Linked DNA regions of Elephas maximus indicus. The protein of the gene in region 2 purifies or fractionates together with the protein of the main gene of each other region. This does not show direct contact. Links are inferred from orthologs where the notes say so. Each region holds a gene or a part of one and is shown on either strand. Other genes may lie near its edges.

Region 1 (7,553 bases), on a different chromosome or scaffold from region 2:
AGCTATCTAATCCCTTTGGTGGGCCACAAGCACCTGATTTGCATAGTCCCACCCAGTCATTTGCTAGGAGTTACAAGGCTGTGGTGAGAAAGGCCACATAAAATCGATCCATCACACCACAGCAAATCTCATTGGCTCTACCTTCACAAACACTCCCAGATTCTTCCTTTCCCCATCTTGGTCTCTGTTATCCCTGCCCAAGCCACCATCATCTCGCGTATATTATTGTAATAGCCTCCTCTCTCTTTCTTCCACTCTCAATCCATATTTGTAGAATTGCATTTGAATTGGAACCTATTCCATTTCTTGGCAGCACATTAAGCCTGCTCAGAAAAGGATCTTTGATCTAAAAGTGAATTGAACACCAACATAGACTATGAGATGTCTGAGCACAGGGTGTTTGATTTTGCAAAGCTTGCTTGTTGATAAAAAAGCAGTACGTGAAAGGGAAAGAAACTGTGAACAGACCAAAGCTCCTGGAATGATTTTACCTAGGAGAATTGCTGACAGAATTTGGCTGCTGAAAAGCTGCCGTATTTTCTCTTGATCTTCTTTTGCCTGGGGTTTGAAGCAGGAAATTCTCTGCCTCAGGATAGCCATGTCTTACAGTTGGCCTGGGCTCTTCTGCTGTATTCATTTCAAGCCCCACATCCCATTGCACCCTGGGGGTTGATATGTATTTCACTTACTATCCCGTTTGTTCCACTCCCCTGGGCGTGGTCTCAGGACTCCTTTCCACCTATGGCAATAGCACGTGGGCCCTGGGAGAGCAGTAGCTGTTCTGCACAAATCAGAGCTAGAAGCATTCTTAGCATTTGGTATGAGGGTCACAAAGCAAAATCTAAACGGGGGCTGCTAGATATAACAAATGAGTGAAGTTTCCTGACCACATCTTAAGTTGGATCCTTTCTTTCATCATAGACATTTAAGACTGTTGTTTTTGTACACAAATGTTCACTCATTTTCCTGAAAACACAGAGCCCTCTCTCTATAGCCTAAAACAATAATTCTTATATTGTTAAAAATATAATTCTTATGTTCTATATCTTGACTGGGATGGTGGTTACATGAGTGTATACATTTGTCGAAAATCATCAACCTGTACAACCTGATTATCTGTCCAGTTGAGAAGATGACCCCAAAGGTTACAGTTTTATTGCCCTGTGGGATGTGAACTGGTTTGAATCTAACTTAGCGATCATATTTCAGCATTCCTTTGACATAAGCTATAAGCAAATTTTTTTCAAACCAGTTCTGTCTCGCCATCCTAACTTCGAAGGAGCACTCTGGCTATACTTCTTCCAAGACAGACTTGTTCATTCTTCTGGCAGTCCATGCTATATTCAATATTCTTTGCCAACACCATAATTCAAAAGCATCAATTCTTCTTCAGTCTTCTTTATTCATTGTCCAGCTTTCTCATGCATATGAGGCAATTGAAAAGGCCATGGCTTGGGTCAGGCACACATTAGTCTGCAAGGTGACATCTTTACTTTTTAACACTTTAAAGAGATTTCTTGCAGATTTGCCCAATGTAATGCCTCTTTTGATTTCTTGACTGCTGCTCCCGTGGGTGTTGATTGTGGATCCAAGTAAAATAAAATCCTTGACAACGTCAATATTTTCTTCATTTATGATGATGTTGCCTACTGGTCCAGTTGTGAAGATTTTTGTTTTCTTTATGTTGAGGTGTAATCCATACTTAAGGCTGTGGTCTTTGATCTTCATCAGTAAGTGCTTCAAGTCTTCACTTCCAGCAAGCAAGATGGTGTCATTGTATAATTCAGGTTGTTAATGAGTCTTCCTCCAATCCTGATGCCCTGTCCTTCTTCATATAGTTCAGCTTCTTGGATTATATGCTCAGCATATAATGTTGATCAATACTTTTGGTATAATGACTCTGTTTATTCCTTCTATGTTCTTTTGGTGCTTCTTGGGTTGTTCAATATTTTGCCAATACAATCCTTCAAAATTGTAACTTTAGGCTTGAATTTTTTCTTCTGTTCTCACAGCTTGAGAAATGCTGAGCATGTTCTTATCCTTTTAGTTTTCTAACTCCAGGTCTTTGGGCATTTCATTTCAATACTTTACTTTGTCTTCTCAAGCCGCCCTTTGAAATCTTCTGCTCAGGTTTTTACTTCATCATTCCTTCCTTTCGCTTTAGCTATTCTACCTTCAAGAGCAAGTTGCAGAGTCTCTTCTGACATCCATTTTGGCCTTTTCTTTCCTATCTTTTTAATGACTTTTGCTTCCTTCATGTAAGATGTTCTTGATATGATCTCAAAGCCTCGATTTTGTAAAAAATTTATTTATTGTGCTTTAGGTGAAAATTTACAAATCAAGTCAGTCTCTCATACAAAAAGTCATACACACCCTGCTGTGCACTCCCAGTTGCTCCGTCCTTAAGTCCTTAATGAGACAGCACATTCCTCCTCTCCACCTTGTATTTGCTATGTCTGTTCAACAAGCTCCTGTATCCTTCTTCCTTCTCATGTCGCCACCAGACAGGAGTTGCCAGCATAGTCTCACATGACTACTTGAGCCACGAAGTTCACTCCTCACCAGCATCATTGTCTATCTAATAGTCCAGGCCAATCCCTGTCTGCAGAGTTGGTTTTGGGAATGGTTCCAATCTTGGGTCAAAGCCTCAACTTCCTGACCTAAAAGTTAAGATCTTGGCTGCTAACAAAGATGTCAGCAGTTTGAATCCACCAGCCGCTCCTTGGAAACCCTATGGGGCAGTTATACTCTGTGCTGTAGTGTCGCTATCTGTTGGAATCGACTTGTCGGCAATGGTTTTTTTTTTTTTAAGTGGGTATAATAATGCTTATCTGCTAATGCTGTGGTGAGGGAGAACTAAACGATATATATAAAGACCTTGGTACACGGTTGTTGTTGTTAACTGCCATTGAGTAGACCTCCGGCTCATGGAGACCCCCTGCACAATGTGATTGGTAAATCGTACACATTCAACAATGTGTGGTTCTTTCTTCTGTTCACTCTAACTACAAGTGCCGTTGGTGTATGTCCTTATCAGGGATGGGGAAGAGGTAGAGGAGGAGAGCTTAAACACAAACAGTATTTTTCTCCATGCAGTTAGCGGGTAGTACAATGACAGTCTTCATAATTGTTTTTTTCAGGCACTGCAAAACGTAGAAGTGCTTTTTCAACACTCAGACAAACATTTTAACTGGTGCAATGGAGTGGGAAGAGCCCTTGACTGGAACATAAGTCATGGGCATTGTCCCATAAAGCCTGGGCATCAGTTTAAGCTTCTTCTTTTTTTTAATGTATAAAATAGTGATAGTCCTCCTTACCGACCTTAGAGAAATATTTGCGGGGTACAGGGATGTGAGAATTCTTTCAAAACAGTGCATCTATGAGAAGTTAGTAAGTTTGTATTAACTAGCCAGACATTTTCTTTTTTCTGGGTCTGACTTCTCACCGGGGGAACGTGAGCATCTCAGTGGAACTGAGTCTGACCCTGTGTCCTGGGCGTTCCGGATCGGGCACAGAGAGATGTCTGGCTCAGTGACAGAATCCTGACTGAAGTGCCCTCTGGTGTTTGTTGTTGTCAGGTGCCCTCAAGTCGACTGACTCAAAGCGAAAGTGTAGAACTGCCCCAGAGGGTTTTCTAGGCTATAATGTTTACAGGAGCAGATCGCCAGGTCTTTCTGCCGTGGACCCACTGTGTGGGTTGGAACCGGCAACCTTTCAGTTAGCAGCAGAGCGCATAACTGTTAATTAAGAGATCTATCTCATTTAGGAGCTATTACCCTCCTATTAGGCAGCCGCGGTGACGCAATGGTTAAGTGTTCTGCGGCTAACCAAAAGGTGGGTGGCTTGAACCCATCAGACGCTCCAGGGAAGACTGCTTTCTTAAAGATTAAAACCCATTGTGGTGGGGGTGATTCCGACTCACAGCGACCCTACAGAATAGAGCAGAGCTGCGCCATAGGGCCGTACATATTTACGGCAGCAGACTATCATATCTTTCTCCCACATCTTCCTCCCGAGGAGCGGCTGGTGGATTCGAATCACTGGCCTTTTGGTTAGCCCTAAAGATTACAGCCTTGGAAACCCTATGGGACATTAGTCTTTTGGCTAAGTTGTTTTATTTATTTTTAAAGTTTATTGATTCAAAAAAATATTATACAGTATATATATTTTTGGCTTCTTCACTTTCTTTTCAGAGCGGCTCAGGTAACCTTAATGTGATTGGCTAAAGCACCTGCCCGTTATCTTTCCCATGATCCGACGGGGAAATTGGGAAAAAAAGTGTCTTAAACTCAGCTGTTTTATTGGCTCCGGTAGGGACGCACGGCAAAGACCGTGGGCACTTCTAATTTGTGATTAGTTTTTATGTCCGCCAGTCATGCTGCCGAAATTTCTGTCCAATCCTCTTACGCGTACTATGACCTACTTGCCGGATTGGCTGGAGGGGTTTACGCTGGAAAGCTTTTCATTGGCCCCAAACTCCCCGGCTCCCGGCCCAAGCCCGCCCCCTGCTCGGTTGCCGTGGTTGCAGGCCCGGCCCTGCCCGCTCGCTCGCTGACAGCGAGAGTTAGGGCGGAGGGAAGTGGGTCCGTCGGTCGGCCGGGAACGAGGCTCCGCCAGCTAGGCCCGCGCGGAATCGTTGCCATGGCAGCCGCTGCCGGGGGCGCGGACGATGAGCCGCGTTCCGGCCGCTCGAGCTCTGATGGCGAGTGCGCGGTGGCGCCGGAGCCGCTGACGGGCCCCGAGGGCCTCTTCTCCTTCGCCAGCTTGGGGGCCGCGCTGGGCAGCGGCACGGACCTCCCCGGTCGGGCGTCCGACGGAGCCCAGTCCCCGCTGCGCTACCTCCACGTCTTGTGGCAGCAGGACGCCGAGCCCCGCGACGAGCTGCGTTGCAAGATCCCCTCCGGCCGGCTGCGGCGCGCCGCCAGGCCTCACCGCCGGCTCGGGCCCACGGGCAAAGAGGTGCATGGTGAGGCGCGGGAGCGGTCGGCGGGCGCGGAGGGAGGCGGGCCGGCCGCGTGCGGCTCGGAGCCGGGGAGCCTGGGGCCAGGCTGCCGCCCTGCTGGGCCCCGTCATGGAGCCCCGGGCCCCGGACTTGTCCCCAGACCCCGAGCTAGGGGCCCAGGGTGACGCTGGAGTCTCCTTTCGATAATAATAATTATTATAGCAGCTAAGGGCCACGAATAAAAACAAAAAACACACCAAACAAAAAACTCCCTTCTCAGAACCAGTCACTCCTGACTTCTCACACTTGGCAATTCTCGAATAGAAACTTCATGACTCAGGGTGTTCCACTGAGTCGATTCCAACTCATAGTGATCCCGTGTGACAGTAAAGTTGCCCGGTAGGATTTCCTGGCTGTGATTTTAGGGGAGCAGATTGCCAGACCTGTCTCCCACGGCGTTGGTGGGTGGGTTCAAACCACCAGCCTTTAGGTCAGCAGTCCATGGCTTGACCATTTCCACCACCAGGTCTCCTTTGGTGTTTATTTGTTGTTGTGTGCCACGGAGTCTTCTAAAACTCCTGCTGTGATATATGTCTACCATAATATCTTTTATAGTTTATGGATGACATGGAAACTGAGGCCCTGAAGGATTAGGAATGGGAGTTTTAAGAGTCCCTTCTAGCACCTTAGGGGCGTTGTGAAGATTAAATGAGTATTTGAAAGTGCCGTATAAACCATAAAGTTTATATGACTGTCAGTAATTGTTACGTATCTTAGTTGCAGTTTTTGCCCATTTCTCTGCTGACAAAGGCATTTTTTTCTGTTTGCCTCTAATATACAGATCACTGGAGGGGAAAAATGTTTCTGCTTAGGAATTACCAAGTTTAGGTAAATCATTTGGGAATGGCCTATCTTGAAGGAGAGTATAATGAGATAATCTGTGTAACCAGCTCACAAAGAGCTTCTATGTAAATCATCTCATTCATTCTTGGAACAACTCAGGGCTGGCAGGACAGAGCTTAACTTTGTTTTGCAGATGATGGACCTGAGGACCAAAGAGGTCAACTGACATACTCAAGGTCACTCAGCCACTACAAGTGGCAGGGCCCCAGATACAGAGGCCTTGGGGAATTTGCTACAGAATGTAGCCTTTTCATTAATTGCGCTGCACTTTGTATTTCTCTTTGTTCCCAGGGTAGTATCTCTCAGATGCTGGCATCTTTCTCTCCCTCTCTGTGGCTGACGACTGGGTTAACTAGAAAACCATCCACTTTCAGGTTCATCATGGCCGTTTTTTTTAAACTGACACTCTTACTTTCTTTACAGCTCTGAAGAGGCTGAGGGACTCGGCCAACGCTAACGACGTGGAAACAGGTGAGTGTGCACAGTGGGTCTAGCTCCAGGGACCCGAGGGCTGGCTGAGGGAGGAATAGTCTAGGTACCTGGGAAGAAGTTGTTTTAATTCAGCCTGCCAGCTCATCCCTGGGACCAGGCTCTCTTACTTATTGTGTAACTTTGCAGTAATCCTGTGGGAGGTAAGTCTGGCTTCAATGCTCGCCCTCCCTACGCTCTTCTGCCAACCGGAACGTCCTAATGTCATAGCATTTATCACCCTAAGGGCTCCCTGATCCTGGGGACTCTGTCTGCTTTTGTATACCTGACACCCAGCAAAGTCCTCAGTAAAGAGTAGGTGCTCATTTTGCAATCTCTGGGTCATGGGAGTGAACACTCAACTTTAACTGCCAGGGGATCACCATGCTGATGCCACCCCCTTCAGCTGCTCACTGAGGCTTTGTGGTAGTTGGGTCAGTGGCTCTCAAACTTGTTTAGTTGACAGAGCACCTGAAAGGCATGGATGGCCTCCTAGCTGGATGTCACTCTGTCTATTTTTTGTTGTTACTCCCCAGGGTTCTCTAACTGAGAGAGTAATAGCAGCATCAAAGTTGCCAGGAAAATTTATAGGAAACATTTTTAAATTTTATCCACTTAATCCTTTCTGTGAATCAAGGAAAAGTAGTACGTTAGCTTTCAGTGGCTTCTCTAACAAATTACCACAGATGTAGTGCTTTGAAATAGCACAAATTTTTTATCTTACAGTTCCATGAATCAGAAGTCCAACATAGGACTCACCAGGCTAAAATCAGGGTGCCGGCAGAGATGCATTCCTTTCTGGAAGCTTTAAGAGGATAATCTGTTTCCTTGCCTTTTCCAACTTCTGGAGGCCACCGATGTCCCTTGGCTCATGTTCCCCTTCCTTTGTGTTCAGAGCCGGCAATGGTGGGTCAGGTCCTTCCCATGCTGCCATGTCTCTGATTCTTGCAGCAGGGAAAGGGTCTCTGATTTTAAGAACTCATGTGATTCGTTGGGTCTACTTGGATAATCCCGGATAATCTTCCCATCTCAAGGTTCTTAACCTTGGTGACATCTGGAAGGTCGTTTTTACCATGTACAGTAACATATTCACATGTTTCAGGGATTAGAGTGTGGACATCTTTGGGTGCCATTATTCTGCCTAGCACTAGTGGTAGAATGACATCTTGGTGGTGGGATCCTGTGGTCAGCAGCTGAAATGTGAGCATAGATGAAGGGCTGAGGGTTAGGAGAGCCCACG
Region 2 (7,019 bases):
CCTGATTATTTCCCCATGTTATTGGGATTTCTCTATAAGCATCATTGAAGTGTCTGGATGGCACAAATGGTTTGCACTCAGCTACTAACTGAAAGGTTGACAGTTTGAACCCACCCAGAAGCACAGTAGAAGAAAGGCCTGGCAATCTGCTTCTGTAAAGATTACAGCCAAGAAAACCCTGCGGAGCTCAGTTCTACTCTGTAACACATGGCGTTGCCATGAGTCGATGGCAACGGGTTTGGTCGTATTTTATCCTTTTATAAGCATCATTTACTGAGTCAAAAAAGTACGTGTATTTTTTCATTTTGTTACATATTGTCAAAATGGTTTCCTGGAACATTGTACCAATTTCCACAACAAATAGCAGTTTTTGAGAGTCCCCTTACCCCTGCACTCTCAACTCCTTTATGCTCCATGTCTAACCAATTCATTTCCCTATTTTTGTTCACACTTCAGTGTTTTGCAGACTAATCTATTATTTCCATTGAGGCAGTGATCTTGGACTCCAGTACGTTCCAACCTCTAACTTGTCTCAAATTTACTTCTCTTGGCTCTCTAAAATTTTCTTCTGGGGTGAGCTAATAAAATGCAGTTTATTTTCATTTCAGGGAGGCAGGCCAGTAAGATGAGCTTCTCATTGAGGTTCAAATAACCAACAGTAGCCTAACAGCCATCTAGTGATGGCTTTCAGAGAGCCAGCCTAAACCCGGCATATTAAGGTTTCCAGCTTCCCAAAGCTCTCTGAACACACTCAGCCACTGCACTTAAATCTCCATAGAAACTGAAAGTCACATGTGGCCCAATTGTTTCAGGGTCCTCAGAGGAGTTCTCTTTCCCCCTCCCTTGGCTTCATTTGCATAACCAAGCAGCTTCAGGGGAAAATAGGTCAAGGTTTCTTCTGTAGCTTCTTGTTGAGCACTGACTCACTGAAAATTCTAGCTCACTCTTATTCCCAGGAGTTGCCAATCAGATCTGAGTATCATTGGGGAAAAGTGGCAGGTACCTGAGGACTTTTTGGAGAACATCCATACCTGGGTTTTCATAAGCCATATCTTCCCCTTATGAATCAACTCGACAGCTGCAGGTTTGGTTTTTGGATCTTACCCTTATACCTAAATCACTTCCTGGTATGGGTCTAGTCCACTGAAAGGAAACTCTTATAGGAAACTTGCCAGAATGGAAATAATAAATCATAGTGATGGTAATTTAAGATTGTCATCAATATCCTAGAAGTGGGTAGAAAGTTACACCAGTTCTCACCATGAAGAATTTACAAAGGATTCTAAACCAAAACATCAATAGCTATAAGCAACATGAGTTTGAACTTTAAAATAAGCAGCTAGTTTAGTGTGATGATAAAAGGGGTCAGAATAGAGCATATAGGGCTAGCCCTAAGGGGTGCCGTTTCTGGCGGCTTTAGGTTTCCATGAGCATTTGCATTTTGTGGCTTATTTGGAGGGTGACATTGTTTTATCAAATAACTGAAGCTTCGGAGAGGGCATAGCACCCTTGCTTCAGGGGCTTGGCATGCAAAATGAGTCAAGGAGCAGAACTAATACACAACTAAGAGCACAGAGGACAGCCTCTGAGCTGTGCAGACTCCCAACATCAGGATGTTGCTGCTGCCCTGCCTCTGGAAACGCACAGCACCGACTAGAGACTTCCAGCTTGGAGAATTGGTGGCTGAGAAATCGCACTGGGATTCCAGCTGGAGGTCCAGCAACTCATCCAAGAACGTTTTCAACAGGGTCAGCAATCTCTTATATTCTAAATGTCATTTCATTCGCTCTAAGCAGAGCCCTCTGAGGACACTGGCAGATCTCAGGTGGAATAAAAATAATAGCCAACACTGAGAGATAGCACTTGCTATGTACTAGGTCCTATTTTAACTGCTTTACATATATTAACACTTTGAATCCCCGCAACAACCCTATGAGGAAGGTACTAGGCAAATAGGGTAAAGGGAAAAGAGTAGGGGAAGGAAAGGGCAAGAAAAATCCAATGCATCATTTATTAAGTGCTGACTTTGTGCCAGGGGATATAGGAATGAACAAAATACAGGAGGGTATAAAAAAGAGGGGAGATAGGTAGAGAAAGGAGGAGGAAGAGAAGAAGGTGGAAGATGAGGAGGGAAATAATGAAGACCAGAGAAAAGAAGGCCATGCACATGGTAGGCAGTAGTAATAGGAGAAAGCTTCACCACGACCTCAGGGTTTGGCCACACAGTGTCTGGGCTGAGGCTAAGGCTGCCTTCTTCTGGCCAAGTCTCTTACCCCCTATTACCACGAGGTTGGCTCAGCCTCCACACAGTCCCTCCAACAAGCCAGCTCCGGTCCCAGGCCCCGGTTTGGCCTGATGCAGCTCTACGTAGTTAGCTTTTCCCCCGCTCACGAAGGTCAACTGCCTATTGTGGCATGTGAACTTTGACAGTTTTCTCAGAGAATCTGCCTCATAAAACTTCTTCTAAGGGCTTCGCTGACACAAATCTACATTTTGAGTCTTCAAGCACTATTTGACCAAAGGGCTTATTTTTATCCCACTGGCACCTGCGGTGTTATTTTTCCGCCAAGTTTTGCAGAGGCGCCCCTTTCCAACACTGGATACCTGTTCAGACGGTCATCTCTTGTTACCTTTTTCTCTTTGTGCCCCTCCCCACCATATCCCTCCTTAAAAAAGACCCCTAAAGCCCCTTCTGATCACCAGAAGGGACTGCCAAGACCTTGTGCTGAAGATACTACCCCCCAGCCCAGCAGCCTCCTCCGCCAGCCGACTCTATGGCACCAGCCCTGCTTTCTCTTTGGCCTTCAAGGGCCCCCAGAAAGGTACTTGCTACTGCTGCTGCTTCCCAGCCCCTGCCATGCCCCAGACCCACCTCAGTCCTGACTTAAAGCAGGTAGCTTCCCAGATGCATTGAGATGCCGGGACTTTGAAGGTGGGACTCGATCTCAGAAGACACTGGCCCTGGAGACATATTCTTACAGTCCAGAGAGGAAGGACAGTCTGAGCAAACCCCACCCTTTCACAGCCACTCAGTTCCCTTTTTTTGTTTCCTGACTTAAACCAATGTCTTTTTTTTCTTCTTAGCAGCATGGTATCTGGTTCCCTGCTGCTGTCCCTGTTCCACCCCCCCCCCCCCCCCGCAGCCGTCTCCGCCCTTCATTTGCTTGGAAACTCCAACGTGATTATCATGCTTCCTGCTCTGAAAGAACCCTCCTTAACATGACTGTGGCCATTGAGACTCTAGAAGGGGCTGGGTGGAGCAGATGGGTGGGCAGGCCGAGCTCCCCCAAGGTAAAGGGACGACATGCCGGAAGGACTGTGGGGATGGTTAGCACAGGGAGTGGAGACATATAGGAAAGAGGAGAACTGCACAGACTGGCTGAGACAGGAGGAAGGGAATGCCGAGGAAGAGTGTCTTTTGAGGCTCATGTCCTCTGAGGTGGAGGAGACTTGGGGCCACACAGGTAGAGTTGATGGTGAAGGATGGAGAGTGCTCACACAGGGACCCCAAAGTACAGAGCCTGACAGAGGTGGAGACAAGACTTCCCCCTGCTGAGTCATTTTCTAAGAAAGCATTTTTTTTCTATAGATAAAAGAGTCAGAATGTAAGCCCTAACAAGGGCTTGTGCCCTGTGCCCGTTCCCATTTCCTGTGAATGTTGATTTTCTCCATTTAAGATTTGGCCTCAGGAATTAACTCTTAATTTACACTTTGCCCTTTAATCCTATGAAGTGATAAACCAGACTGGGTGCACAACTTGAAGCCTAGATGTTTTCTAAACGGCCTCCTAGCCTGTTTCAACTGCAATAGTCTCCCCTAGGATTCTCCTTGGAAATACAGCCACTATTGGCTGCAGATAGTGATGGCAGCAGAGGCCCTGGTGACTGACCTGCTTTCCTACCTTGACACATCTGGTACTCTCATATCTACTTGTTCCTAAGCACTGTACACTAATGTAGAAATAGGAGTCCCTTGGGTGGCGCAAATGGTTAAGTGCTCAGCTACTAACCAAAGTCGGCAGTTCAAATCCACCCTGAGGTGCCTCAGAAGAAAGGGGCCTCGTGGCCTACTTCCAAAAAGTCACAGCCATTGAAAACCCTATGGAGCACAGTTCTACTCTGACATACATGGGGGTGCCATGAGTCAGAATTGACTTGACAGCAACTAGTTTACTGGTTAAGCACCTGTTATGGATTGACTTGTGTCCCCCAAAATATACGTATGTTATAAACTTTATGCTTATAATCCCATTTGGGAAATGAGTTTTCTTTGTTATGTTAATAAGGAAGTTTTAGTGTAGGGTGTGTCTTAAATCAATCTCTTTTGAGATATAAGAAGAGCAGATTAACCAAGGAAACAAGCAAGCACAGATGGGGGAAGATAGATGCCATGCCACATGAAAATCACCAAGGAGCCAAGGAACAGAAGCTGAAAAGAGATAAGGACCTTCCCCCAGGGCCCTAGAGCTAACACAGACAGAAAGCCTTTCCCTAGAGCCAGCGCCCTGAATTTGGACTTCTAGCCTACTAAACTGTGAGAAAATAAATTTCTGTTTGTTAAAGACACCCACTTGTGGTATTTCTGTTATAGCAGCACTAGATGACTAAGACAGCACCATACCCTAATGTAGAAACAGATCCCAGATCCCATTATAAGCCTGGCAGAATTTGTAAATCAATATTGTTGTTAGTTGCCATGGAGTTAGTCCCTGACACAATGAAGTGAAATGTTGCCTGGGCCCTCACCATCCACTTGCTACATTGCAGATCAGACCATTGTGATCCATAGGGTTTTCGTTGAATACACTTTGAAGTAGATCACCATGCCTTTCTTCCTAGTTCATCTTAGTCTGGAAACGCCATTGAAACCTTTTTTTTTAGCATCATACACTCAAGCCTCCAGAGACAGTCAGGTGGTGCCTGCACTTGAGGTGCATTGTCTGGGAATCGAACTGAGGTCTGAATAGAAAGTGAGAATTCTAGTACTACACCCTTTAAATCAATAGGGCTTTAAAAAATGGCATTTGTAGGATGTTAGAGTAGTTAATTCACACATCTGCACAAAGTAGATAAGAAACCCTGGTGGTGTAGTGGTTAAGCATTATGGCTGCTAACCTAGAGGTTGGCAGTTCAAAGCCGCCAGCTACTCCTTGGAAACTCTATGGGGCAGTTCTACTCTGTCCTGTAGGGTCGCTATGAATCAGAATCAACTTGACAGCAGTGGGGTTTTTTTTGGTTTTGGTACAAGTGTTGCATGATCTCCCTATTTTATTGATAACTTATATCCTTTCACTAGTCACCCCTGAACAGCTGCTCCAGTTGCCAGCCTGTGAACTGGCCAAAGAAATTCGTCCTCCTTCCCTCCCTTTTTCTTTAGTCAGATGCTGCTTACTGTCACATGCCCTGTCCCTTCTCAAGGTCCATTTTTGGGTGGGGACTGGGAGTTGATAGATATAAGATGGGAGATCTAGACAAGGGAGTGGAGGACAGGAGAAAGGGGAATGTAAATTTCAGGCTGTTCCTCGCCTTCTGCCCCACAGCTGCTCCCCTAACACACTTGTCTGTACTGACAGAACAACGACTGTACCCAAATAATGCAAATGAATGGCCTAGTGTCACCTCAAAAGATTCCCAATGTAATATAAGGTTCTATTCTTGGTGTTGCCCTGTTCAACATTTCTATTGATGACCTTTAGGAAGGTATAGAAGATACAGAAATGAAGATATAGAAAGTAGCCTAGCTAATTTGTCCATTGTGCAGAGCCGTGTGAGCTAGACTGGATGGTGGAATCAGAATAATTAGTTTTCAAAATGATCTTCATCACCTGTAGTGATAAGCCAAATCCAGTAAAATGTATCTTACCAGGGCTAAGGGTTATGTCCCATAATTGGGCCCAACATTAAACCTCAAAGATTCCAGGTGAAAGTGGGGTATCAGTAACACTTGTGAATATGGCTCAGGGGTTTTTGCTACTAGTAATCAAGTGAAATGTCAAGCCAGTGACGTGGCTGCCAGAAAGCCAAGGTGACAATAGGCTTCACTTGGAGACGTAAAATACGTACACAGAAAAGTCAATGTGCTACTTACTGCATGGTCAAGGCACATTTAGAATTATGTGTTCAGTTTTGAGAGCCTCATCTTGTTTTGGTTGTTAGGTGCCGTCTAGTCGGTTCCGACTCACAGCGACCCTATGTACAACAGAATGAAACACTGCCCAGTCCTGCGCCATCCTCACAATAGTTGCTATGTTTGAGCCTATTGATGCAGCCTCTGTGTCAATCCATCTCGTTGAGGGTCTTCCTCTTTTTCACTGACCCTCTACTTTACCAAGCATGATACCCTTCTCCAGGGACTGGGGTCTCCCGATAACATATTCAAAGTATGTGAGACGAAGTCTCGCCATCCTGGCTTCTAAGTAGCATTCTGGCTGTACTTCTTCCGAGACAGACTTGTTCTTTCTTCTGACAGTCTGTGGTATATTCAGTATTCTTCACCAACACCATAATTCAAAGGAATCAAGTCTTCTTCAGTCTTCCTTATTCATTATCAAGCTTTCCCATGCGTGTCAAACAGTTGAAAATGTCAGTAAACTATTAGCTGTTATAACTATTACTGTATAATGGTAAAGGGACCCATACTCTGAAGTCAGATTACCTGGGTTTGTATCCTGGATCCATTAAATACTGTCGACATTGGGCAAATTGTTGAACATCCTACAGCCTCAATTTCCATATGGGTAAATAATAATACCACCTACCTCCTAGAACTACTGTGAGAATTATATAATAATCCATTTTAAATGGTTAGTACCCGGCCTGGCATATACCAAAGAACAAAACAAAACAAAAAAACAACAACCCCATTGCCATGTAGTTGGTTTCGACTCATAGTGACCCTATTTGACAAAATAGAACTGCCCCATAGGTTTCCAAGGAGCAGCTGGTGGATTCGAACTGCCGACCTTTTGGTGAGCAGCTGTCTCTCTTAACCACTGCACCACCAGGGCTCCGCCTGGCTTA

Evidence for each region.
Region 1: the proteins of BTK (region 2) and ANKRD54 purify together in Homo sapiens (affinity purification with mass spectrometry; 4 studies listed by BioGRID and IntAct, counting the BioPlex papers as one, with this or other methods). This does not show direct contact. The link is inferred for Elephas maximus indicus from reciprocal best matches to the Homo sapiens genes BTK and ANKRD54.

What each region holds. Positions count from the first base shown.
Region 1 is NC_064822.1:181,735,841-181,743,393, reverse strand, and holds the start of ANKRD54 (ankyrin repeat domain-containing protein 54), read left to right. Parts: upstream 1-4,516; 5' UTR 4,517-4,641; coding exon 4,642-4,966; intron 4,967-6,268; coding exon 6,269-6,316; intron 6,317-7,553. UniProt on the Homo sapiens protein: Plays an important role in regulating intracellular signaling events associated with erythroid terminal differentiation.
Region 2 is NC_064846.1:56,724,538-56,731,556, reverse strand, and holds the start of BTK (tyrosine-protein kinase BTK), read right to left. Parts: upstream 3,017-7,019; 5' UTR 2,873-3,016; intron 1-2,872. UniProt on the Homo sapiens protein: Non-receptor tyrosine kinase indispensable for B lymphocyte development, differentiation and signaling. Binding of antigen to the B-cell antigen receptor (BCR) triggers signaling that ultimately leads to B-cell activation.